Drosophila melanogaster: one gene and its partners. The protein of the gene in region 2 interacts with the protein of the main gene of each other region in a pairwise test. Each region holds a gene or a part of one and is shown on either strand. Other genes may lie near its edges. The genes, in order: koi, mael, ERp44 and CG8159.

Region 1 (7,844 bases), on a different chromosome or scaffold from region 2:
ACAGACATTATGTACACCTGGCAGTACTTAGGTCACTAGAAGAGATTTGAACAGATTTATGTGGCCGGCGGCTTGCCGTGCACGCGAAACCGGTAGAGGCATGTATAGGTGGGATGGCCATGGTTCGTCTCGATCCGCAGTTCGACGATCTCGTACGGCCGTTTGATGTCCAGGTTTTGAACGGCAAAGTACTGGAGGGAAGCACCATTGTCCTCAAACTGGTAATCGCCGAACAATACGGGTTCCTGGTCCTTCTCCTGCTCCAAGCCCTGAGTTGATGGATAAGTCGTATTAGAAATGCACCACTTCCTTTCACCCTTAGTCAAACTTACCCAGACAGTGAAGTTGCGAGGAGCTGATTCTATTCTTCCTGTGGGGGATAGACTCTTCGGTATGTGCTCTAGGGTGAATCCAGTGACGTACACCAACGAGTTGAGCTTTAGCACTGTGGGAAGAAAACTATAAGGACTGTTTTAGCAATTACTATTTACCCGCGACTTGCCTAGAAATCCGGGAAACCCTTGGAATGCCCAGCATTCCCCTGGCTGCACATTGGGTGAAATGGCGACCCGCGGCGTGTTGGTGGGATACCAGAGTGGAATTCCAAACACCGATATCTGGGCTGACTTTGTCTGGTAGCTCTCAGTGCAACGCGTGGAAAGGATTTGGCCGCCCGCCGACTCCAGGGCGAAGTCCACCAGGCCCGTCTTGTCGGCATCGTAAATAGCTAGCACCGTCTTGACTATCTGGCGCACCTCCTCTTCGCGGATATGGCCCTTCAACGCTTTGGTGCTCTCGTTATGCTTGGCCTCCACAACCAGAAGAATCTCCCGTTTGAGTCGTTGGCTAATGTCGCTCATCAGCAGGATGCTCGAACGCTCAATCTCGTCGCGAATGTTGTTATTGGTGCGCTTGTTCAGCTCTAGCAGCTGCTGCTCCAGGTAGTCCTTGGCCACAAACATGCTGCGTACCCAGGTCTGCAGATCGAAGTCATCCAATTGGCCAGCGGAACCGCCAGCGGTGGATTGCTTAAAGCCCAGAATTTCGACAAGGGATAGCTTGATCTGCTTGTTGAGAAGAGCAAACTGCGAGTCGTTAAGCGCAGACAGTTTGTTTTCTATTTCAGCCAGCAACCCGTGGAAGCGCCTATCCTGGGAAAGTTCGTGCTGCTGTATGCGTTCCAGCAAATCCTCTTGGCCGAGCTTCAGATTGCTGATTGATTGGTGCAGATCGGCGTTCTCCGCTTGCTTGTCAGAGAGAGCCAACTTAATGAAGGCGATTTCCCTGTTCAGACGCTCAATTTGGACTTCTGCATCTGAGGAACCGGAACTCTCCTTTGGCTCGAGCTCTCCCACCCGAAGACTTATTCGAGCATCTACAAAGTCTGCCAATGCTGGCGCAGCAAGAATACGCTCCAGCAGGGATGCAAAGTCTATCCTGTCCAATTGAATGGTGTAGTGCGATTCGTGGAGGTGAACCTCTGCTTTAATTAGCTTGGTTATCTCCTCTAAGTTAGCTTGTGATAGTTTCGCTCCATCTTGCCAACCGCCTGAGCTTTGCAGCTCCAGTTTCAGTTTTATGGCCAGATCAGACAAATCCTTTTCGCTTAGCTCCGTTTTGTACATAATCTGCTTGAGGTTTTCCTTCATCAGCTTAACAAAGAGTTCAATCTGTTGCGGTGCGAGCTCCTTGGAATGCTGCTGCATTTTCAGCTCGACCAACTGCTGCACGTAGCTGTTTACATGGTTTAAGATATTTTCGTATTCCTCGGCAGTCAAGGCTTTCTGGATGTTCTGTTCAATGCTGGCCATGTTTACCTTAATGGCCTCGGCTTCCCGCTGGGGACTCCTGACGGTGGGCACTTCCATCCAACTTTTCAAGGTGGCTCCAGCATTTGAAAATCGACTACGTAGGGAGCCGAAAATAGATAGTGGCAGCGGCAACAGTGCTTCCGCACGCTGAACGTAAGCACTACGTTGATCCTCCTGCAAGAGCAACCATCCTGGGGAAGGAGAAAATTAAACATAGCACTATTAGTTGGCAATCCTTCTACATTTACAGTCCCTACCAACTTCAATTATCAACCGGACTGAGGTAACAGGGAACTCGTTTTTGGGGTTATTCCAACACAAATGCAGAAGGATAGAGTTCGATTCTGGCCAACTAATATTGCTTTGTTTACATCTTACTTACCATTTAGCGAACTTCCAACAAATGGCAAATAAAACAAACAACTCTTCTTTGTACTTGATGTTTCATATGAAATTGTTTGCGATTTATTTTTGTATAGACTATTACAAAGCAAACAGTGCACAAATTACAATTAAACGTTGTTTAACAACAAGTAAGATTTAGTTAGGGCACTAACCCAGACGGATAACGGCCCTAATTGTTGGACAAGAATGAAGTTAACGATTACGAAAGTTTTACAATTTGAACAGCGGCGAGCTCTATCCTTCTCCCATCAGCCTGTGATGTTGCATTTTGTTGGGAATTGTGTCGGTTAGTATGGTGGGGTATGAGAGGTGGGTTTGCCTATGAAGTGGGTAAATGACGGGACGAAAAACTATAAAGTAAGTGCGCAAAACTGCGGGTCAAGCAGACGGACAAAAAACGGATCAAATGCTTTATTTTGTACTCATATTGTTCATAAAGAAAGTTTCTCATATTTGTCTAAGTGCAAGGGGCGTTGCACCCAACCAGATCACTAAATCTGGTAGCTGTAGCCTGCCCATTGCAGATGTTCCCTACACACGCTCATAATAGACTTTATCATCGCCCTGAAATAACTGACGACCCTTGTTGACCACGTTCTGACCGATGGTTCTCAAGTACAAAACGTAGTCGTCGGCCCAATCGCGAACGCGGACCGCATGCTCGGCGGCCTGAGAGCGTAGCGATTCGAACTGCTCCTGGTTCAGGTAGTCTTTCACATCGATTTTGGGCAACTCAGGTAGGGTGAATGTGTATTCGGACAGGGATTTGGGTGGGAAAGTTTCATTGGGGTGTATGTAATAGAACAGACCTGCAAAGGCAAAGCAAATTAGGCGTTTAACCTTGGCAGACGGTGAATGGAAAATAAAATATGTCATCACATGGCCACTTAAATCTGATCCGCGGGATTTTACTAACAAATTATCGATGGCGTCACGCGACTGCCAACGACCAGACGAGTTTATAAATACAACGACTGGAGGTGATCTATATGCATGTAGTATGAATTCTCGAACCGGTACAAGGTCACGGCACACGCTCTAACATATTTTACTTTACATCAAAAATCGGACGGTGCTTTAAATCCTACTCACCCGACAGCAGCAGCAAGGGCAACAAAATCAGCAGAAATATGAGGAAGCGCTTTTTCGACTTGTTTTCCGCATCCGAGGATCGCAGCAACCACGTGTCCAAACTCAGCACCGATCCGATGAAAACATACAGGTAGCGCAGCAAACTTGCAAGTCCTCCTCCGATGGTCTGTACTATTTTCCACCAAAGTCCAACTTGTTGACTCTGCTGGCGCTTAGCGTGGTAGTTTTGATAGGCAGTCGTCTCCGTGGCCGAGAGATTGGTCACCCGACTCCACACGGTGGTAATGCTGCTAACAACCAGTTGGATGAGGCGGATAAGCCACCAGCTCTGCTTTTGCTGCCCAAATGTGGCGTCCAGTTCATCTGCGGAGTCATAGTTAACCTGCTGGGTATACTTGGACTGGTAGCGGCGGCGGATGAACTCCTCTTGCGCAGGGTTCTGCTGGACCATGTAGTTGACTCGATCGTTATGGTTCTCTAGGCTCTTTCTGGACATATTGGGCATGGCCACAATTCCTGGCGCCAACTGGCGTCGGTGAGGGGACAGTTCTGAGTAGGTATAGTCCGTCTTGGGAGTTTTGCTGCAAAATAGCATCATTAGTATACTGTTTAAAATGTGTAGAAATGATTCACTCACTTCCAGTATTCACCAGCATCCCTGTACTCGATGTAGGCCAGATAATCGCTGACATTTCCCGAGCTGAGGTTACCGTTCGATTGGTTTAGCTTTTCCTGGGCGGAATTCAGCGTGTTTTGTGTGGTCTCCAGCTGGCTTCTGTTCCGCGGTGTCGATGTGGCGCCGCCGGATCGCTTGGTGAGAATCGACGTGACTGTGGCCGTGATCGAGTTCTGTTTGCGTTTGGCATCCGGAGTCATGTCGTCGCTCGAATAGTCCGAGGTCAGCTGGGCGAACGCTTTTGCCCGGGTTTTCTTACTGATACTCGACTCCACTATATGCTCCTCTATTATCGTTCTGCAGAGAAGAGGTAAGATTTGGGAAAAATATTTCAGTAAGTCCGTGATAACGTGCTCGGAATCGTTTGAAACGACGAGTACAACGTATCAAAACAAAAACACAAAAATATGCTTATAACCGCCGCTGGCCTTCAGCGCAAACGACTGTTAGCCCACCCCAGCATGCTCGATTTAGAGGCTAAAACGTGAAAACGATTTCTGACGGCCGACGTTGGACTCCGAATGTCGTCATCGAGTCTTGAAGACTGATCATCAGACCGACCAGGCGCTCTCGAAATAGGCGCCAAAAACTAACGAAGCTCGACCAGATGCTGCACCCTGTATGCGGCTTTGCCTTCGTTTTCTACCCGCTTCGAAATTCAAATTCGCGGCGAGCGTGAATAACAAAAAGGTGACGTCATGGCGGCAGCACACGGCATACAAACATACAGTCGCTATGGATGTGTCTTACTACAGTCCAACTTGCTTACTGAAACCAATGGTCAGTATAGAAAAAGGTGACTCAGGACCAAATAGGAAATAATTATAGAGTTTAAACTGAATTCTCCTAATTCTCAAAATGAAATTGACTCGAACTCCGTAAACATATTGTATGCTTACAATTTTACTACTTATAAGGGCTAAAAATAATGTTATGGGTTCGCGATAAAGGGCTTCGTCCGTAGGCCTATTTCGGGAGTATCCCAGATACTTACTGCACATTGGGGGCCGCCGATTTCCTTTTGAGGTGGTGCACATGCCCCTCCTCTCCGGCGTGCTCACAGTTCTCATGGTCGCAGCTCGATCTCAGGAAGGGGGTCTTGGAACGCGACCGCCGACGCGTTTCTATCTGGTATGTATTTTCGCTCATGATTAGATTCCCTCCAGTGCTCGGGCCCTGCGAAGACACAAATAATTAACATGGGCAACGATTTATTTGGAGTAAACATTAAAACCAGTCTGTGTGTGTGTGCGTGTGCGTGTGTGTGCGTGCTAGGCGTGGGTTGTTTACAATTGGGCAGCTGGAAAACATTCGGTCTCTTCACTTCAATGCTCGAGTGCTTTCCGAAGCGAGCTTTCCCCGCCACATTAATGCCGCATTATGCAATGCAATGCGTGTGGAAATGAGCGCAGTGCCCGGTTTTTAATTAGAATGCATTGGGGAGGTAGGTAAGTAGGCAGGCCGCAAAGACCGCGTCTAAAAATAGGGCGGAGCATTTCGGATCGCGAATTGCTGCCAGTGACCGTGGGGATCCATTGGTGTTGGGCCACATAGCCGAAAACGACGCCCGCCCGGCCTTTCGCGCACAGATATCGGACTCCAGGGAGCGGGGTAGGGATGTAGACGCTACAGGGTGCTCCGGCGGACCACGCCATCCACAAACAACGCGCGATAATCAATACAATGGCTTACTGCCCAAAATGAGTTCGCAGCACAGGCGCAAATATTCGTTGATTCCGTGATTCGGTGAAATGGAAACCCAAACAAGTTTTCCACAGCTGCGTCATAGCGTACATATATGTACATATGTATGTACGTGAATGTAAAAATGAGGCACGCACGCACACAAACAAAAACTCCGCACAGTGCTTTCGGCAGTTTGCCCGCAAATATGTGACATACTTAGTAATATTTCTTGTACTGCCGTACTAATGAATTCCTCCGTTGAATAGCTGGATATGAATTTTGTTTGCAAGCGCCGCGACCGTTTTAAAAATAGCCTCCACCGTCACGACGGCAAAATCACGTCTATTCCGAGCGGCGAAAAAATTCGAATGAACGGGGAAGACACATCGATTATTCTAGCAATCATCGATGTTTCGCCGCCTATCGATTGTTCACATGGATTATTAAAGGGAACGTTGAGAAACGGAATTTGTTTTCATTAACCAAGAGAAATAATGGGTCAAGAATAAAAAATTTAATTTTTACACTTTTATCTTTTGTTCAACAAAGAAAAATAATTTGAATGAGGTGTGCAAATATGCAAACATACATTATTTTTCTATTAACGCCGAAACATTCGACTTCTGGCTTGATAACTAAGAAGAAGACTGAAATTTAAATATAAATTTGTTAACAAATATTATCGTTTTACAAGGATGTGATAGATTTGCGTCATGACAAGCAATTGAGCTTTCTAAGTATACTTTCAGACTTCTGATATCTTTAACTTCGACTTTCTATATGATTGTTATTTAAACATATTTAAAATTAAATAAAATATCGATAGCATTGCGGACAATTAGCGATCCCTCAAACCACTCGGTATTCGGTAAAGGGTATTTGACAACCCTAAGCAATAATACCACAACAAATCAAGAATTTATTGTTGTGATTTGTCTAGCAAAGCCATAAAATATGATAGAAATAACGTGTAACGATCGTCTTGGCAAGAAGGTAAGCAGCTAAGTACCCAAGGCAACTGCAAGCATCGTTAACCAACGATTAACCCACAGGTGCGCGTCAAGTGCAACCCGGACGACACGATTGGGGACCTCAAGAAACTAATCGCGGCACAAACGGGCACAAAGCACGAGAAGATTGTCCTGAAGAAGTGGTACACAATCTTCAAGGACCCGATTCGCCTATCTGACTGTAAGCCCTTGTTTAGTGTCCTTGTAACGCCTTGCTTTACCCGCATTTCTTTTTCGCTTTCTTAGATGAAATTCACGATGGCATGAATCTGGAACTTTACTACCAATAAAACTGCAAGGGAATACCGTTCCTGTGTCTAGTTTGTCCAATTTTTATAGCTTCTTTAATAAATAAAAAGATTTTGAATAATATATATTATTCGTTTTGGTTATGTTCTGATTCTTAAGGTCAATTTGTAATAGTGAAGATATATATTTTTGAGTAAGCTGTATTAAGCCCTTGGTTATCGGACTTCCCTTGACAATAACAAAATACATAGTTAGATTGATGAATTACAATTACAATTAATATTGTAATTTGCGTTTAATGCGCCCCTACGACTACGCCCCTGTAAAATTGGTATTATTTACAGCGTATGTTGCGGCGTTGCCAGATCGCATCAAAGGCTTCCAGAGAAAGAACAACAAATATTGAAAACAGCGCATTCAAGATTCCGTCGAAAATGTCAATGATTCCATTCTTTCCCACGCTCAAAGTCTCCGTGGCCAATCGCTACTGGTTGGACATGGCTCCTGCCTCCGTAAACGAAGAATCGCAGACGCGGCGTTATGAGGATGAAAGGAGCAACTGGGTGAGTTCTCTCCAGACACCGCTTTCTGTATAAATTGTTATAAACTTAAACCGTACAGCGAGAGTCCCTTAAGACGGCCGGCACAGATCTGCAGCCGCTGGGCAAAATGCTCACCATACCCGGAATTGAGACCGACGACGAGGATGGTGAGTACGGCAGGACACTGCATTCGGATTACCATTATCGTTTTTACGTCCAATTGCCCTTGTGCAGCCAACGACGACAGCGAGGACACGGACAGTCACGATGAGGAGGATGACGAGACCAACGACCGCGTCATCCCGGTAACCCAGGACTTTTACTCCGCCGACGACATTCAGATGAACGACGAGACCTCACCCACAGCCCCCTA
Region 2 (4,424 bases):
TGTGCGTACTTGTGCTAGAAGACGATTTTCGGCCCGAAATAAATTTTCATTCAAGAAAATTTACATACATATTCTACATATTTGGAGTTTTTGGCAATTTTTTTGCAAAATTTCAACAGGGCACTGTGAGCAATACTTTTTAAAGCATTAACATTAATTTCATCAATATTTCAACTTATAAATAAAGTTGCTATCTAGAACTATAATTATTAGTTTTGTAATTTAAAACATAAATTTAACAAAATGAGAAAATACATATTTAAAAATATATTTTGTAAAAATAATACAAACATACATAGTTAAAAGTTAATATTTATAAAATAAATAAAAATATGCGACCTTTCTATTGTAAAATGTGCACAGATGCACTTGTCGGTTGTCACTGGATGCGTAAAAACAGCTGATGGCTGTAGAGTTCTCCGCCCTCTTGCTCCTAAACAAAAATTAAGAGCAGAATACTTTATATCCACCTTCTACTTCCTGAATTCTAGACATTTCTTACTGAGAGACAGGCGGCCCAAGAGATCTTAATCTTAATTGCTTGTACCTTTTGAAAGAATCTAGTATAACTTTTACTGGACGAATTCTAGACTATTAAAAATGTGATGATATATCAACACATTTATTAAAAGTGCGATCGTGACAGTTTTATGCGGCTTGTGAGCGCTAGAGTGGGCTTGGCAAAATGGGTTAACAAACTTGCGCTGCATCTTTGTCTCTAAAATCTGTATGCTTAATCTTAACCTTCTACCTTTAATAGTTCCTGAGATCTCGGCGTTCATACGGACAGAAGGACACAGCCAGATCGACTCGGCTATTGATGCTGATCATGAATATATACATATAGTGACGTATTCGGGTGGTCCAAACCGGCCACTTCAATTAAAACAGTATTGCACTTAATTGATTTTCCATAATGTATCCCAGCTGCGCAGCATCCGTTTCTAATAAAGAATTCTTTGGCAGCGGCACTCAGCCGTTCTTGTAAACATCCTAAAACCTGACATAAGCCGATTTGACTGCTCTCTTTGAACCTTCTCCTTATCTTAAGAACCCAAGAGCGAGGCTCTCCCGAGATACAAATATTGTTCAAATAATGAGGGTTCTCTCAATTCAATTTGCATTTGATTTTTACTCTTAAAAAAACTAAAACGTTAAAACTATTTCTCCGATCATTTTTTATTTCTTAGCGTTGTCCTTAGTCAACTGACGGGGCATTTATTCGACTCAAATAAAAAATATAACAACTAATTTTACTATATATATGTATATATTTTACTGTATATCGGAAACGCTTCCTTCTGTCTTTTACATATGTACATTTCAACGAATCTAGTATACCCTTTTACTCTACGGTTAACGGGTATAATAAGTTCTTTCTAAATGATTATGCTTATCATTTTAACAACAACATTTTAACCAAAAACGGTGTGATGACCAAACCATTTTCATATTCAGCATGAATTTACCGATTCAGACAAATCGTTCATACATACAAACAATATTATTACTTTACCATTAAACAAACCATTTCCAAGAAAGAATTTTTCATAGACCTAAAGCACATCGACTTTGTGGGTGGATATACATACATATGTACAATTTTTCGACTCAACTGTTTACACTGTAGTTTTACGAAAGAGAATTTCGATTTAAAAAATTTTTAGTTTTCGATGGTCGACCATTTGATTTATAAATAAGCAGTATTATCTTTAATTAGGCTGCTTTTAACTGCAAGTGCAGTTTATTCATACGATTACAAAGCATGACGATAGATGATTATGCTATTAGGTTTGATTAAACCATTTTTATGAAATATAAATTATTATATTATAAATATAAATTAATTATAAATTTACAAACTCTTATTCCATTCCAGAATCGATAGTTCTGGAATGATACTAGTGCTCAGCAACGCCAAAACAGTCAATAATAGATATTTGAAGTGTCAGCGGAATCGACGTCTGACAAAACAACTGCTTCACTTCATTAGAATTGTGTGATATATTCCACAGACCAGATCATTGGAAGAGAAGTCAATCGTGCGTGAGAGAAGCCAGAAGAGAAGCCACCCGCGACATTCCGAAGTAACCATTTCTGTAGGGTCAGACGTACATACAAACAACATTCATATAAATTGCTCGTGCTGTTCATTGGTTACCGCCTTTAGTCGCTACCTCGCTCGCACACGCGCTCAACACCTACCCTTACCCGTCAAAAATACCGACCTTCTTCTTGCCACGCCCGTAAAGATGGCTCCTAAGAAGCATAGTGGGTTTATGATGTTCGTAAACGAGTGGAGAAACCGGAACGCCGAGGGCCGACGCATGACGCTGGCGCAGGCTGTTTCCCACTGCGGCACCATATGGGAGGTAAGTTTTGGTCGATGCTGCGGATCTACCCTGTAATAAATGAAGCCTTTTCAGAAAATGAACACCCAGCAGCGTGGTCCGTACAACTCAGGCGGCAAGGACGCAAATGTGGCGCAACGCGCCAAAAGGGAAAGTTCCAACGGCCACGGCCAGGTGGACAAGGCCCAAAGGGAGGCCACCGAGAGCTTGATGGACATGAAACGTACCATCGAGCGCCTCGTGCTAAACGCCAAGATGTCCCATGGTAAGTCACACATTTCGAAGACATTTGGATTCGACTAACTCCAATCGCTGCCGCAGATCTGGAGAATGCCAAGTTTGTCTTCGTTGCCTTCAACTACTTCACTAAAGCCTTGACCACCGACGTCTATGTGCCCGCCGAGTTTGCGGCATGCGAATATTCGTTGAAGGAGGGAATCCGATCCATCTACAGCACCATGATTGACCCCGGTCAGATCATTTTTGGGCAAGGTAGCGATGCCCTGCTTCACTCTTCAACCACTCACGACCTGCCGCTGCCGCCCAACGCGCTGGGGGAGAAGAACATGACCAAGCTGTACCGCAACATTGTTGACTACTTATCCAAATGCCAGGGAAAAGGCAAGACCCTAGTAGTCTTTACACCCGCCGAAAATATTACCATGGTGAAGTCATGCTTCCGCTATTTGGAGTGCGATGATGACTTCAGGGACGGGGGCGAAAAAATCCAGGTGTTTGATATCCAGTACTTGCTATTCATATTGAAGAAGGAGGTCATGAATGTCGCTGATTTGAATGACGAGAAAATCAACAAATTCGCGACGGATGCTTTTTTTAAGAAAGACTTTTTCGAGTTTACCGCAGGGATTGCGTGTCAGGTAAGATTCTGTTCCCAATTCTGATAACCCCTAGTTGACTTCCTTCCTGATTACTTTTGCAGTACCACGAGGATAATGATCGAACCAAGTACTGTACCCAGAGTATGGTGACTAGATGGGCGTATACCTTCACTGATTTTATGTGCGGAGACCTGGCCATAACCGTCCAACCCGGAAAGCACATACCTGCCCAAACAAAACCCAACTACCTTATCATAAGCTCGTACGCCTCCTCACTCGACCACGAGTCCTCCTTCGACTCTTTTTATTCGCTTCCCGGATCTGGGGTCAAGAAGGAAAGCCAACCCGAAGCTTGTTCGCTTTCTAGCAGTCGACTTTCCGTCGCATCAAGCTCCTACAAGCCCATAGACCACACTTCCTTTGCCGCAAATTTAAACGAAGTTTCTGAATTCCCCAGCCTCGGCATGCGTAATTCTAGTAAGCATCACGGTATCGCCGCTAGTGCTCAGCGGGAATGGAACGCTAGGAACTTACCGACGCACTCGCGTTTAATTCGGAAGGTTTCAGACAACGACTTCTCCGTAAACGGCGCTGATGGGAAACTTAAAAAATAAGCCACTTTGGTCTATCAATTGGACTAAGAAACAATGATTCCTTATAGATAATTTTCTTATCGCATTAAACTGTACAAATACTATTACTTGTATTTAAAAATAAATTCGTTCAAACGGACAGGGCCAGCATCAAGTATTTATTTATTTTAGTTCTGCTAAATAAATATTTTTAAGACCTAATATGTGGGCAGTAATGAAAGAAAGACATGATATTTTTGATGGCGACAAATTCTAATTAGCTAAGTGGGGCCAAGCTCAAAATAATCTATGTTTATGGTATTCCATGGAAATGCAGTTGTGCCATTAGAAACTGCTCCTATTAAAACCCCTGTTAAATATTGTGCATAAAATTGTTCAACGGGTCATTATAATACAAAGTGCAAAGGCCAAAAAGAGTCGAGTTCATATTCTTACACTTGTAGCTTTTTAAGTGGCTCGACTTGGAGAGGAGTTTTTAGAGTTGCGAGATACAGATGCAATGCTTTGCGGATCTTGCTGAAGCACGAGACGAGTAAAGGCTAAGCTGAGGAGAAGTGCCTGGCCTAGAAGCTCGCGCTGGTAGCGCTCTTGTTGTGAGAATTCGAGGCGTAGGTCAGCGGGAAAGTCGATCTGTTTGTGCA
Region 3 (6,349 bases), on a different chromosome or scaffold from region 2:
TGATAATTGCCAGCACACGACTTCATTTGAACCGATTTTTATCCCAACACACACACGGTTATCGCTCGTTTTGACTGAATTATATTATATAATTATGTAATCTAATTTAACAACTGTAACTGTAACATGGTACATACGAATAAACATATATATATGTATACATATATAGCTCATATATATGTGTATATATATATATATATAGAGAAAATCAAAATCACTGCTTTGAATTCGGAAGTTGACATCATTCATTTCCAGCTTAGCTGACTAAGAAGGGGATTCCAAAGAATTCAATAAGTTCGCCTCGCCGAAATCTCCAGCGTAATTTTTAACAACAAAACGAGGAAAACTTGAAAAGTGACGCGTGCAATTTGTGGATAATTCAGCAACTGTTTCTTTTTGCAATAACAAAGGTGGTTAAATCCAGACTTTTTATTTTTAGAATTGCATTGAAGAGAATTGAGGCTGCTGCGCCCGCTATTTGCATGGATAACCGCTCACCTGCTGATCTGCTTTCAGAGAAGGTTGCTCATTATTACATTTTTGTATTATTTTCTTTTATTTTCAATATACATTATTATTATTATATTACAGTTCATCTTTTTCTAGCAGGGTGTAGCGATGCTTGGATGGGCCAAGTTCCTTGAATTTGGACTCTGGTGGCGATGTACCCTTGCCAGTGTGTGGGTCAGGTTCAATATCATTTGAGGGATCCGGCCCGTAATGAAATTCCCTGGAAAGCAAAGCAGCAGACCGTTTAGTAATTGAGCCCCATGGTGTTAGCAAAGGCGGCTGTATAACAATTACCTGTGCAGCTTGCCACTGTAGAGATCCTGAAGGAACTGCTTCAGCTTACCCGGCGAGTACATGTCACTGAAGTGGGGGAACAGATACATGTGCTTGAACGAGTCGATGGCAATCAAGGGCAAGTCATCCTCGGATTTACCCAGATGGTGCAGAGGATGCGCGAATCGCTTGCCATCGGCGGTCAAAAAGTTGACGTTCTCTGCAAAATTTCGAAAATACAATGTCAAACCAAATGCTTATATGCAAAGTAAACAACACGATGATTCATCTTACGTTTCTCATCCAGCAATTGACGCTCAATGATCGACTTGTAATCCTTGATAGAATTATGATCGGTTGGGTGGTGGAAGAGAATTAGGAACGGCAGACCCTCCTCCGTAAGTTCCTCTGCATTCTCAAATGTTATTTCCCGCACCAGGGGTACACACTTCTCTTGGACCCAAATTTTGAGCTCATCGAAATTTTGTAGGCTGCCAGTGTAGGTCTCATCGTTCTCATGAGACAGAGCTACATCAGGTCTAAATACTATGATAGGTGTACCTGTAATAGACCAAAAAAGCTGACATTCAGTATTGGCTTGGCATGACTTGGTGCGTTTGATAGAATTCACCTGGTGGATGCATGGCCTGGGCGGCATCTCCGAAGCCCACGTGGAACTGGCAGTCTTCCTTCAGATTTGTCGCCACCTTGCGGAATATGTCGTACTCTGGCTGGTCCCTACGATCGAAGTAGCCCAGAATGAGGCGCTTCTTCGAGTCCAGGTTCTCCAGATCCTTCAGGGATTTGAACTCCTGAATGGGATCCTCCAGCTGCTTCTTGACGAACTCGAGGAACGCTTCGGCTGAACGCTGTCCTCGGTATTCGCGCTTGCTGAGCTGCCCATTGCGTACAATTTTCAATGTTGGATACTTGTTTATGTGGAAACGGGACGCGATGGCCGTTTCCTTGTCGCAATCGACCTTGCCTAGCACCACTTTTCCAGCCTCTGGAAACTCCTCTTTAATCTGTAAGAGAAATTCGATTGAATGCCACGTATTTATTCGATATAAAATGTATATGAATGTATCGCATTGTTTGTAAGCTTTTACTGGCGATCCATTTGACTCACCTTATCTGCAGCTTCCGCGAATATAGGTGCTAAAATATTACTAAACCGACACCACTCCGCATAAAAATTAAGGAAAACCAATTCATTAGACGCTGCAAGAAAACAAAACGTGTTTTTAATGTAGGCACCAAATTGTGTGTAAAATTGTTGATGCGTAGAATACAACTCCGTTCAGATACTAAATATAATAACTTTTAAAAACATATATTTGGTAATATATTTATATCAATATTGAATTACGGGTTTATGTATTAATAATTTAAATGCATATGTATTTTTATGGAATATATTTAAATTTGTCGCTGAATATACATATTAAAGTCAAGAAATTTCTAGCATCCTACTATTCCATAACTTCCGAAAGTTAAAATTTAAGGGGTGCAAGCCTAAGGCCAGGCTTTACTGTAAAAGTTAACGTTTGGATAATAAAAAAAAATAACTTTAAAAAAACAATATAGTATTACCGCAGGATTGTGTACAGGACACACCGTATAAAAAGGACCTATTCATGCAAAGACCAAACTTCGGACATTCTGAGCAAAGAACTGCCGACCAATGGCTAGTGCCCATTTTGGCGGACTATCGGACCGATGCAGCATGAAATATAAACCGCCCTAATTAAGTTTTATCCAAATTCCACACCTTGTCCTTTACGAAAGCGCATAAAACTTATTTTACCACGTTGGCAGTGCCGAATTGAGCGAGCCAGTGATTTTGTTTAGTGACACGTCAATGGGACAAGTCGGCTAATTGATTCCCGCTCACGCTGGCAGCGGGAATGGCATGGGGATGACTGTGATGGTTATGGTATGGGCATATCTCACCTAGGGTCATATCGATATTATCACTGGTCATGGGCACGGCTCCGGCGGCATCGGCCGGCTGTGTGTACTGGAGTAGCTGTAGAATCTGTAAATTCCATAGGATGTCAGTTCTGGTTAGTTAGTTATTTGGTTAGGGGGAGCCAAAAAAAAGCCGGGGCTGTCTGGCCGGCCCCTCCCCACTGTTTCCCCGCCCGCTGATCGAGCGGGTGAGCCACTCCAGTGACCAGCAACATGACCAGACAGAACGGAACACGTCGACTCACCGCAACTAGGGCCACACACGGCCCAAGCTTTCCGATTCCGATTCTGGCTCCAAACATTCTTGTTCGGCTTCCGAATGGCGAATGCGGCTGGCGAGGAGTGGGCGTAGAATTGCGTGCACCGGCGGAGAGTCCAAGCGATCGGTTCTCTTTTTTTCTGATTTCAGTTACACATCAGCTGGAATGGAATGCAAACGTACGCACAATTATTAAGTTTTACAAATTTTTGGTTGATTTTATCGGCTGGCCAGTGTTGGTTAGTCTCGAATGCACATCTCATCGGCAATCGAGTAACGATAGCTTAGTCACATGACTTGGCCATCGCTAACAGCAGCGATAACAGCGATAGCAGCAAACAACGATAGCAATTTCAATGGAAATGAAACAAAAAGTGTCTAAATGAATACATATGCATACATATGTATGTGCAACAACATTTGCAAATCTTTGTTTATAATAGCTGACGCTTATGGATTTTATGGTGGTAAATAGAGCGAGAAAATCTAGAAGCCAAGCGCGTTTTCAATTCGGCAATACGTTTTGAGCTAAATACCCCGAAAAGTCTGCTGAGCGAACGGTTTGTGGAATCCAAAAACCAAATGTGTGTGCATACATATGTACGATTGTAATGTGTTATTGTTGCTCCCCGAAATATCGAAACACAAACATACCTACATAGACAAATATACATATGAGTTTATGCAAACATACACATGCGTAAATGTTTAATTACTTTGTTTATGACAACATACACGGCCATTAGAATACGTTGAGTACGATAATCGGCCATTTTTCGCCTATTGGCTATGAAATCGTGATAATCTAGTCTATTGGTATATATGTGCGTGCGTATGTAATGCAGCGACACACAAATATGTGCATACTATATATTGCGCACCTTGTGGAACTGCAACTGTGTGTGCTCACATAAATGTATGTTCATTGTACATTGTACATCCATACGTGCATATATATGCAGTGCATTATCTATATTGCCACCACGACACTCAAAAACTCAAATATTAACTTCGATTTGTTCTAAAAGTGTTGATTGTGCCCAATTTATCATCCCAGTGACATTTATTTGGCTTTGTTTGTGCACTGCTTAATGCACATGCACATATGTGCATAGTATTATTTATTTATTTATGGGAGCCACTATACTATACGTATCGAATCGTCCCAATAACATCGCACACACACTGTTGTGCGTAATTATGTATTCGGATGGTGGATATAAGAGATATATGCACTTATAAGCGATAACCGGATTTCCAATGACACCCAAATCGCCTTGCCTAAATATAAGCAAATAAGTAATTTCGAATACGTTACATGTTAAGTATTCTTTTAGCCGATTCACACAATGTCCGATGGATCACCGCCTCCATCGATTTGCTTTATCCGTGCCGCCGAATCGTATCCAAAGTCACAAATGGAGAAGGAAGACTCCCAGCTGTTCGTCCCGTTTCAAGAGTGTAGGTGTTCCCCCATATGCTGTAACCGATAACACATGCTAATCTATAGTATATATACCACTAGTGGCCGGCGAATCGATTAAGTACCTGGGGCGCACGGATGATGGTATCCTCGCCCTGTCCAATTATCGGATATTCCTTTCCAAGCAGTCAACCGGCTACGAGACCTACGTTCCATTGGGATTAATCGAATCCGTACAGGTGCGAGATCTGTTCCAGCTGATTGTCAATTGTAAGGATGCCAGCACTGTGCGCTGCTCCTTTCCGTCGGCGGAACAGTGCTCCGACTGGCAGCGCCGGATCCATCTGATGATCGGGGTTCCCGAGTCACTGGAGACACTCTTCGCCTTTCCCTTCTACTCCTGGACCTGCGATGTGCTCGGAAGTGGCAATGGAAGCGGTATCGTTAGCGCCCAGGCCAACGGAAACGGCCTGATTGCCAAGGATCGTTGCCTAACGCTACACAATGGCTTGGCAAAGCCAACAGCCAACGTCACAGCGTCGAATCCTCTGCCCGATCCTGCCAGCGAGACCATCTCAGCCGCCATGAGCAATCGCCTGCAACGATCAGTGCGCTATGAAAGCGACTTTAAGAACGAGGTTGCCCGCTTGGGATTCGATCTGAAGGGCTCGTGGCGCATCTCCACGGCCAATGCCGATTTTAAGCTCTGTCCCTCGTATCCACCCAAATTGCTTGTGCCCTGCTGTATCACCGATGAGATGCTCCACAACGTGGCCAACTTCCGGGGATCACGAAGGCTGCCGGCTGTCGTCTGGCGGCACCAAAAGTCGGGTGCCATCTTGGCCCGATGCAGCCAGCCGGAGGTCGGTTGGCTCGGCTGGCGCAACACAAGGGACGAGCAGCTACTCAAGGCACTCGCCGATGCCTGTGCCTTTGACAGGGGCGAGCACGCCAGGCATTCCACCTGCGCCAATGCAAAGGCGCAACCAACAAAGGGCTCCAAGGAGACCAACGGCCAGTCGGGCTTATCCGGCAAGAGTTCACCATCTCTGGACGATTCCTCGCATGAGGAACTCACGCTGGATGAAATCAAGGTAAGTTTATTACCAAAATAGCCGGGTATTCTTGAAATGAAGGTTTCAGTTACCATATAAGAAAACATTCATGAATAATTATCATAAATTACTTAACACGGAGCAGTAAAATGATGTCAAAACCGCCAAGTGCTAATGAAATAATTTGATCATTGCTCTTAAATTGTATTTGCTTTCAGAAAATCCTCATTGTGGATGCTCGCAGCTACACCTCCGCAGTTACAAATCGTGCCAGAGGTGGCGGCTGTGAGTGCATCGAGTACTATCCCTGTGCAGAGATTGAGTTTATGAACTTGGGCAACATCCACGCCATTCGAAAGAGTTTCCACGCTGTCCGACAGCTATGCGCGTCATCCCCCGATGATCCAAAGTAAGTTTACTAGCTGATTATTAAAGATATATATATATTTATGTAATGGAATCATATTCTTGCAGCTGGTACGGACAACTGGAAAAGACCATGTGGATGCAGCACCTGTCGGGTCTGCTGGGAGCCACCATGACCGTTGTGCACACCATCGAGAAGAATGGACGACCCGTCCTTGTACATTGCTCAGACGGTTGGGATCGCACTCCACAGATCGTGGCCACGGCGCAATTATGTTTGGATCCCTACTACAGAACGGTTGAGGTACGTTGATATACATCAACATTTGTGTTCTATGGACTAATACTCTACCTACTTGCTTGTATTTGCAGGGGTTCCGCGTTCTTGTCGAGCGTGAATGGCTGAACTTTGGACACAAATTCGCCGATCGCTCTGGAAATGGTCCCAATTCCGATGAAGTTAACGAGCGATGTCCAGTTTTTCTGCAGTGG
Region 4 (3,756 bases), on a different chromosome or scaffold from region 2:
CATTTAAGATTCTGTGAGGATCGCTTCTGCACGCCGGCGGAACTTAAGCGTCACATTCGCAAGCATACCGGGGAAAAGCCCTTCAAGTGCAGACACTGTTCCCGCAGCTTTTCTGACTACAGCACTCGGTTGAAGCACGAGCGGACTCACACTAACGAACGACCTTTTGTCTGCAAGGAGTGTAACAATGCCTTCACAACATCCTATATTCTTAAGAACCACATGCTCGTGCATACCGGGGAGAAGGCTTTTAGGTAAGCGGGTACTCGAAATAGTACTTAAGTGTAATAATAATAATCTATTCTATTTGCAGGTGCGACCTCTGCGATAAGTTATTCAGTCGCTACACACACCTTACTACCCATTATCGTTCAAATGCTCACAGACGAAACATGCAGAAAGCAGACACAATCTTTGATAAACCCTAAAAGGTATCACTTAAGAAGCTCTTAGTTGAAAACGGTTGCATTACCAAAATAGGAATTTTTACAAAAAAAATCAAAACGGATAATCAAATTGTGAACTATATTTGGCTTTAAAGGTTGAGATGGACTCATTAAGGTCTAGTTTGTACTATACATTAGAGTGGATGTTTCCAGAGCAGCCAGGCCCAAAGACTCATCCTGCTCCTGCTCCGCGGGCAAAGGCACTTCTATCGTAAAGGCATCCGCCTCTGCTTCTGGCTCCTTTTCCGTCACGAATTTGACCTGATCCGCTGACTGGGATGGTGACAGCTGAACTCCACCCGCGTCTGCCATCGATTTCTCCAAGTTGTGCTTATGAGTGTTAGAGCGGAAGTGAGTCTTCAAGTGGGTGGGTCGCGCAAAGGATCGATGGCACAGCTCACATCTGCAAAGGATCGGCTAGGTGATCATTAACTTAAGCACTATTTATCATAGTTTACTAGCCTGAACAGGCGCTCGCCCGTGTGGATAAGCATGTGGTTCTTGAGGATGTAGGAATTGGTAAAGCTCTTGCCGCACTGCGCACAAATAAAGGGTCGATCATTTGTGTGGGTCCGCTCGTGACGCAGGCGACCACTGTAGTTGACGTAGGTGCGGTCACAGTAACGACACTGGAACTTGCGATCTCCAGTGTGCATCACTTGGTGTCCTTTCAGCTCACCGGAGGACAGGAAGCGGGCGGGGCAGAGTCTACATGAGAGCAATGTTACACAGTTAACTATCAGATTGTACAATTGACGAGCTAAAGCTTTTCTTACTCGCACTGAAAGGGCCTAATTCCGCTGTGTTTGCGTAGGTGACGGTCGAAGGAGGACTTCCCTGTAATATTGTTGCCGCACTGATCGCAAAAGAAAACTGGAAGCGTAACCTTTGTGCGATTTTCACCTTTCCCGCCTTTCTTAAGTCCCCGACGTCGGGTTCTTTTCAATCTGACCGGTGAGGTAGTTCCATCATCTTCGGTAGAGCTGGACATCGCTTTAATGGCCAGCTCCATGTCTGCTTCGTTGCAGGAGTCCAGGTGATCGATGCCATCATCCTCCTCATCGCCATTGCTCAGGCTCTCCAGCTTAATCATTACCTCCAGCGGACTTGCTGGCGTCTTTGGAGCGGTGTCTTCATGCCGCTGTCTTTGGGAACGGGCACTGCGACGAACTGAGGAGCGGAATGTGTCCTCTTCATTCCTGACCAGCGACTCTTCAAAGATCTTCTGACTCCTCAAGCAGCGATCACGAAAGGATATGGCGCTTTTCAAATCCGTCTGGCAGGTCTCGCACATCCAGTCGGGTAAACCGGGTTCGCATTGCAGCTGCCAAATAAGATACAACATTTTAATTGAAGGAATTAATGTGTTTCGTAGGGTAGGCTTACCAGAACACCGGTGAGCAAATTGATTTGTTGCAGCACTTTGCAGGCGCCGCTGTTAAATAGTTTCAACGATTTCGAGTTGTCCGTGCTGCTGGCACACACGCGGCACACATTTTGCAGCATTTTACCAGCTTACTCGATTCTAATTAGTAAATTTCCAATTGTAAACAAGACAGCCACCCAAAACTGATTTGCCATTTGCCACGAAGCAGCGCACTAGCTTTTCCACCTGAGACGTTGTCCAGCACTGGCGACTTATAAAACCACTAAATCGTAACGGCTGCTACTAATTAAAATCAAACAATCTATACAAATTTTTTGTTTTCTGTGTCCTACACACTTAAAAGCATTAGCATTTATTTCATTTTGAGAAACAGGTGTGGTGCAAATATTGAGTATACAACTTAAATTCATAAAAATACGATAAGATAAAAATAAGATAGTCCCCTTTTGGGTATCTTTTTATCTCAAGGAGCATGTAAATCTTATTATTTCATAGCTTGAGCTATTTAATCCTTCATGACTTCTGCTTCTTGACATTTTGGAGGTGCATCATGGATCTGGTGTGCGTTACCAGGTGCGCCTTTCTCTGGAAGGAGCGATCGCAAATATCGCATCGGAAATTCCTCTCGCCCGTGTGGATGACCATGTGGTTCTTTAGGACGTAGGCAGTGGTGAACTTCTTGCCACACTCTTCGCACACATAGGGTCGATCGTTGGTGTGAGTCCGCTCGTGGATCAGCCGGCCCATGTAGCTGACATACCGCTTTTCGCAGAAGCGACAGGCAAACGGTTGCTCCCCAGTATGTACCCGGTGGTGGGCACGTAGTTCGCCAGCAGAGAGAAACCTGGCATCACAATCCCTAAAAAGAGAATATGGAATCAGCATACCGAACCTACAGTTGTAATCTGTGAGCGAGGTTTACTTGCAGCCAAATGGTCGTTCGCCTCTGTGTTTTCTCATGTGGCGCTGGAAAGTGGGTTTCGATGTGGCATGAGTCCCGCACAGCTCGCATATGTAAATCTGATCATCCAGTTTGGTTGATACTTTGATAATCTTTTGTGAAGGTACACACTTCTCATCTATTCCATCTTCCCTCAGCTGCGCTTTCGCATCTCTATTCAGAGTTTTGTCCATGGGCTCCTCTTCAATCAGTACCTGAAAAGTTTCTTCAACCAACTCGCCTTCTTTCTTTTTCCCAAAATCGCTGAATGCGCATTTTTCCGATTCCAGTTCCGAATTGTCATTGGTATCTTCATCACCCGACGAAGAGTCGTCCTCGATGGTTAGCCATTTAGTTTGGGTCTTAATGCAAAGCTTCCGGAATGCCAATGCCGATCTGAGTTCCGCCTGACAGCAAAGGCACATGAAACCAGGAACATCGTCCAAATCCACCAACTGGTGCTGATATTATTTATCTCAATTTTAAAACGTCTTTTAACTCACTCTTAGTCCGCTTATCATGTGCAAGTGCTTTAGATATTTTCGGTTGACCAAATCGAAGAGATTCAGGCTCTTCTCACAGATTTTCTGCCTTCCGCAGACTCTACACACGATGTTCAGCATCTCGATCACTAAACTCGACTGATGGAAAGGCAATTGTATGGTGATTACATTTTGAGGCAAACCAGATAAATTATTCATTCAAGGCGGGGATTTTTGAAAGTCAAAATCTTTATTTAAATAGCTATTGATCTGTTAACAACTGGAGCAGTCTGATAAAACAGATACTGCTTATAATATTAAAACTTAATAATAGGTGTAAATAATATTGGTCAAATCGTTAAGCTGAACCATTTCATGGGTGCTTGAAATAAGTACGACCTGCATGCTAATAATGCGCAGGATCAATTTTTGAAAACAAAACATATAGCTTCATATTTCTGTTTCGGTAAATCGAAATAATCCACGTAAAATGTTTCGTAA

What was found.
Region 1: the proteins of mael (region 2) and koi interact in a two-hybrid assay, tested with the Drosophila melanogaster proteins (one large-scale study listed by BioGRID).
Region 3: the proteins of mael (region 2) and ERp44 interact in a two-hybrid assay, tested with the Drosophila melanogaster proteins (one large-scale study listed by BioGRID).
Region 4: the proteins of mael (region 2) and CG8159 interact in a two-hybrid assay, tested with the Drosophila melanogaster proteins (one large-scale study listed by BioGRID).

The regions. Positions count from the first base shown.
Region 1 is NT_033778.4:6,809,218-6,817,061, reverse strand, and holds the start of koi (klaroid), read right to left. Parts: upstream 6,044-7,844; 5' UTR 5,887-6,043; intron 5,275-5,886; exon of another isoform or gene 5,161-5,274; 5' UTR 5,134-5,160; coding exon 4,979-5,133; intron 4,531-4,978; exon of another isoform or gene 4,368-4,530; intron 4,282-4,367; coding exon 3,946-4,281; intron 3,890-3,945; coding exon 3,309-3,889; intron 3,026-3,308; coding exon of another isoform or gene 2,748-3,025; exon of another isoform or gene 2,250-2,747; intron 2,003-2,249; coding exon 503-2,002; intron 446-502; coding exon 333-445; intron 270-332; coding exon 57-269; 3' UTR 1-56. Other genes in the region: ubl (ubiquitin like), read left to right, coding at 6,625-6,663, 6,723-6,861, 6,927-6,970; CG15237 (uncharacterized protein), read left to right, coding at 7,364-7,492, 7,551-7,638, 7,706-7,844. UniProt on the Drosophila melanogaster protein: Component of the LINC (LInker of Nucleoskeleton and Cytoskeleton) complex involved in the connection between the nuclear lamina and the cytoskeleton. Is required to nuclear migration in eye and to anchor klar in the nuclear membrane.
Region 2 is NT_037436.4:22,722,314-22,726,737, forward strand, and holds mael (maelstrom), read left to right. Parts: upstream 1-1,919; 5' UTR 1,920-2,252; coding exon 2,253-2,372; intron 2,373-2,417; coding exon 2,418-2,616; intron 2,617-2,672; coding exon 2,673-3,229; intron 3,230-3,291; coding exon 3,292-3,804; 3' UTR 3,805-3,921; downstream 3,922-4,424. Other genes in the region: CG14450 (uncharacterized protein), read right to left, coding at 4,231-4,424. UniProt on the Drosophila melanogaster protein: Involved both in the piRNA and miRNA metabolic processes. As a component of the meiotic nuage, plays a central role during oogenesis by repressing transposable elements and preventing their mobilization, which is essential for the germline integrity.
Region 3 is NC_004354.4:16,293,311-16,299,659, forward strand, and holds ERp44 (endoplasmic reticulum protein 44), read right to left. Parts: upstream 4,351-6,349; 5' UTR 4,332-4,350; intron 3,930-4,331; exon of another isoform or gene 3,773-3,929; intron 3,598-3,772; exon of another isoform or gene 3,481-3,597; coding exon of another isoform or gene 3,466-3,480; exon of another isoform or gene 3,361-3,465; intron 3,278-3,360; exon of another isoform or gene 3,175-3,277; 5' UTR 3,057-3,174; coding exon 3,000-3,056; intron 2,961-2,999; exon of another isoform or gene 2,822-2,960; coding exon 2,737-2,821; intron 2,005-2,736; coding exon 1,913-2,004; intron 1,809-1,912; coding exon 1,415-1,808; intron 1,345-1,414; coding exon 1,078-1,344; intron 1,004-1,077; coding exon 805-1,003; intron 731-804; coding exon 586-730; 3' UTR 543-585; downstream 1-542. Other genes in the region: CG3632 (uncharacterized protein), read left to right, coding at 3,466-3,480, 4,351-4,474, 4,539-5,530, 5,710-5,900, 5,966-6,161, 6,230-6,349.
Region 4 is NT_033777.3:8,725,124-8,728,879, reverse strand, and holds CG8159 (uncharacterized protein), read right to left. Parts: upstream 2,027-3,756; 5' UTR 1,953-2,026; coding exon 1,833-1,952; intron 1,771-1,832; coding exon 1,223-1,770; intron 1,155-1,222; coding exon 909-1,154; intron 850-908; coding exon 564-849; 3' UTR 510-563; downstream 1-509. Other genes in the region: ranshi, read left to right, coding at 9-254, 314-428; ouib (ouija board), read right to left, coding at 2,347-2,692, 2,756-3,228, 3,277-3,396.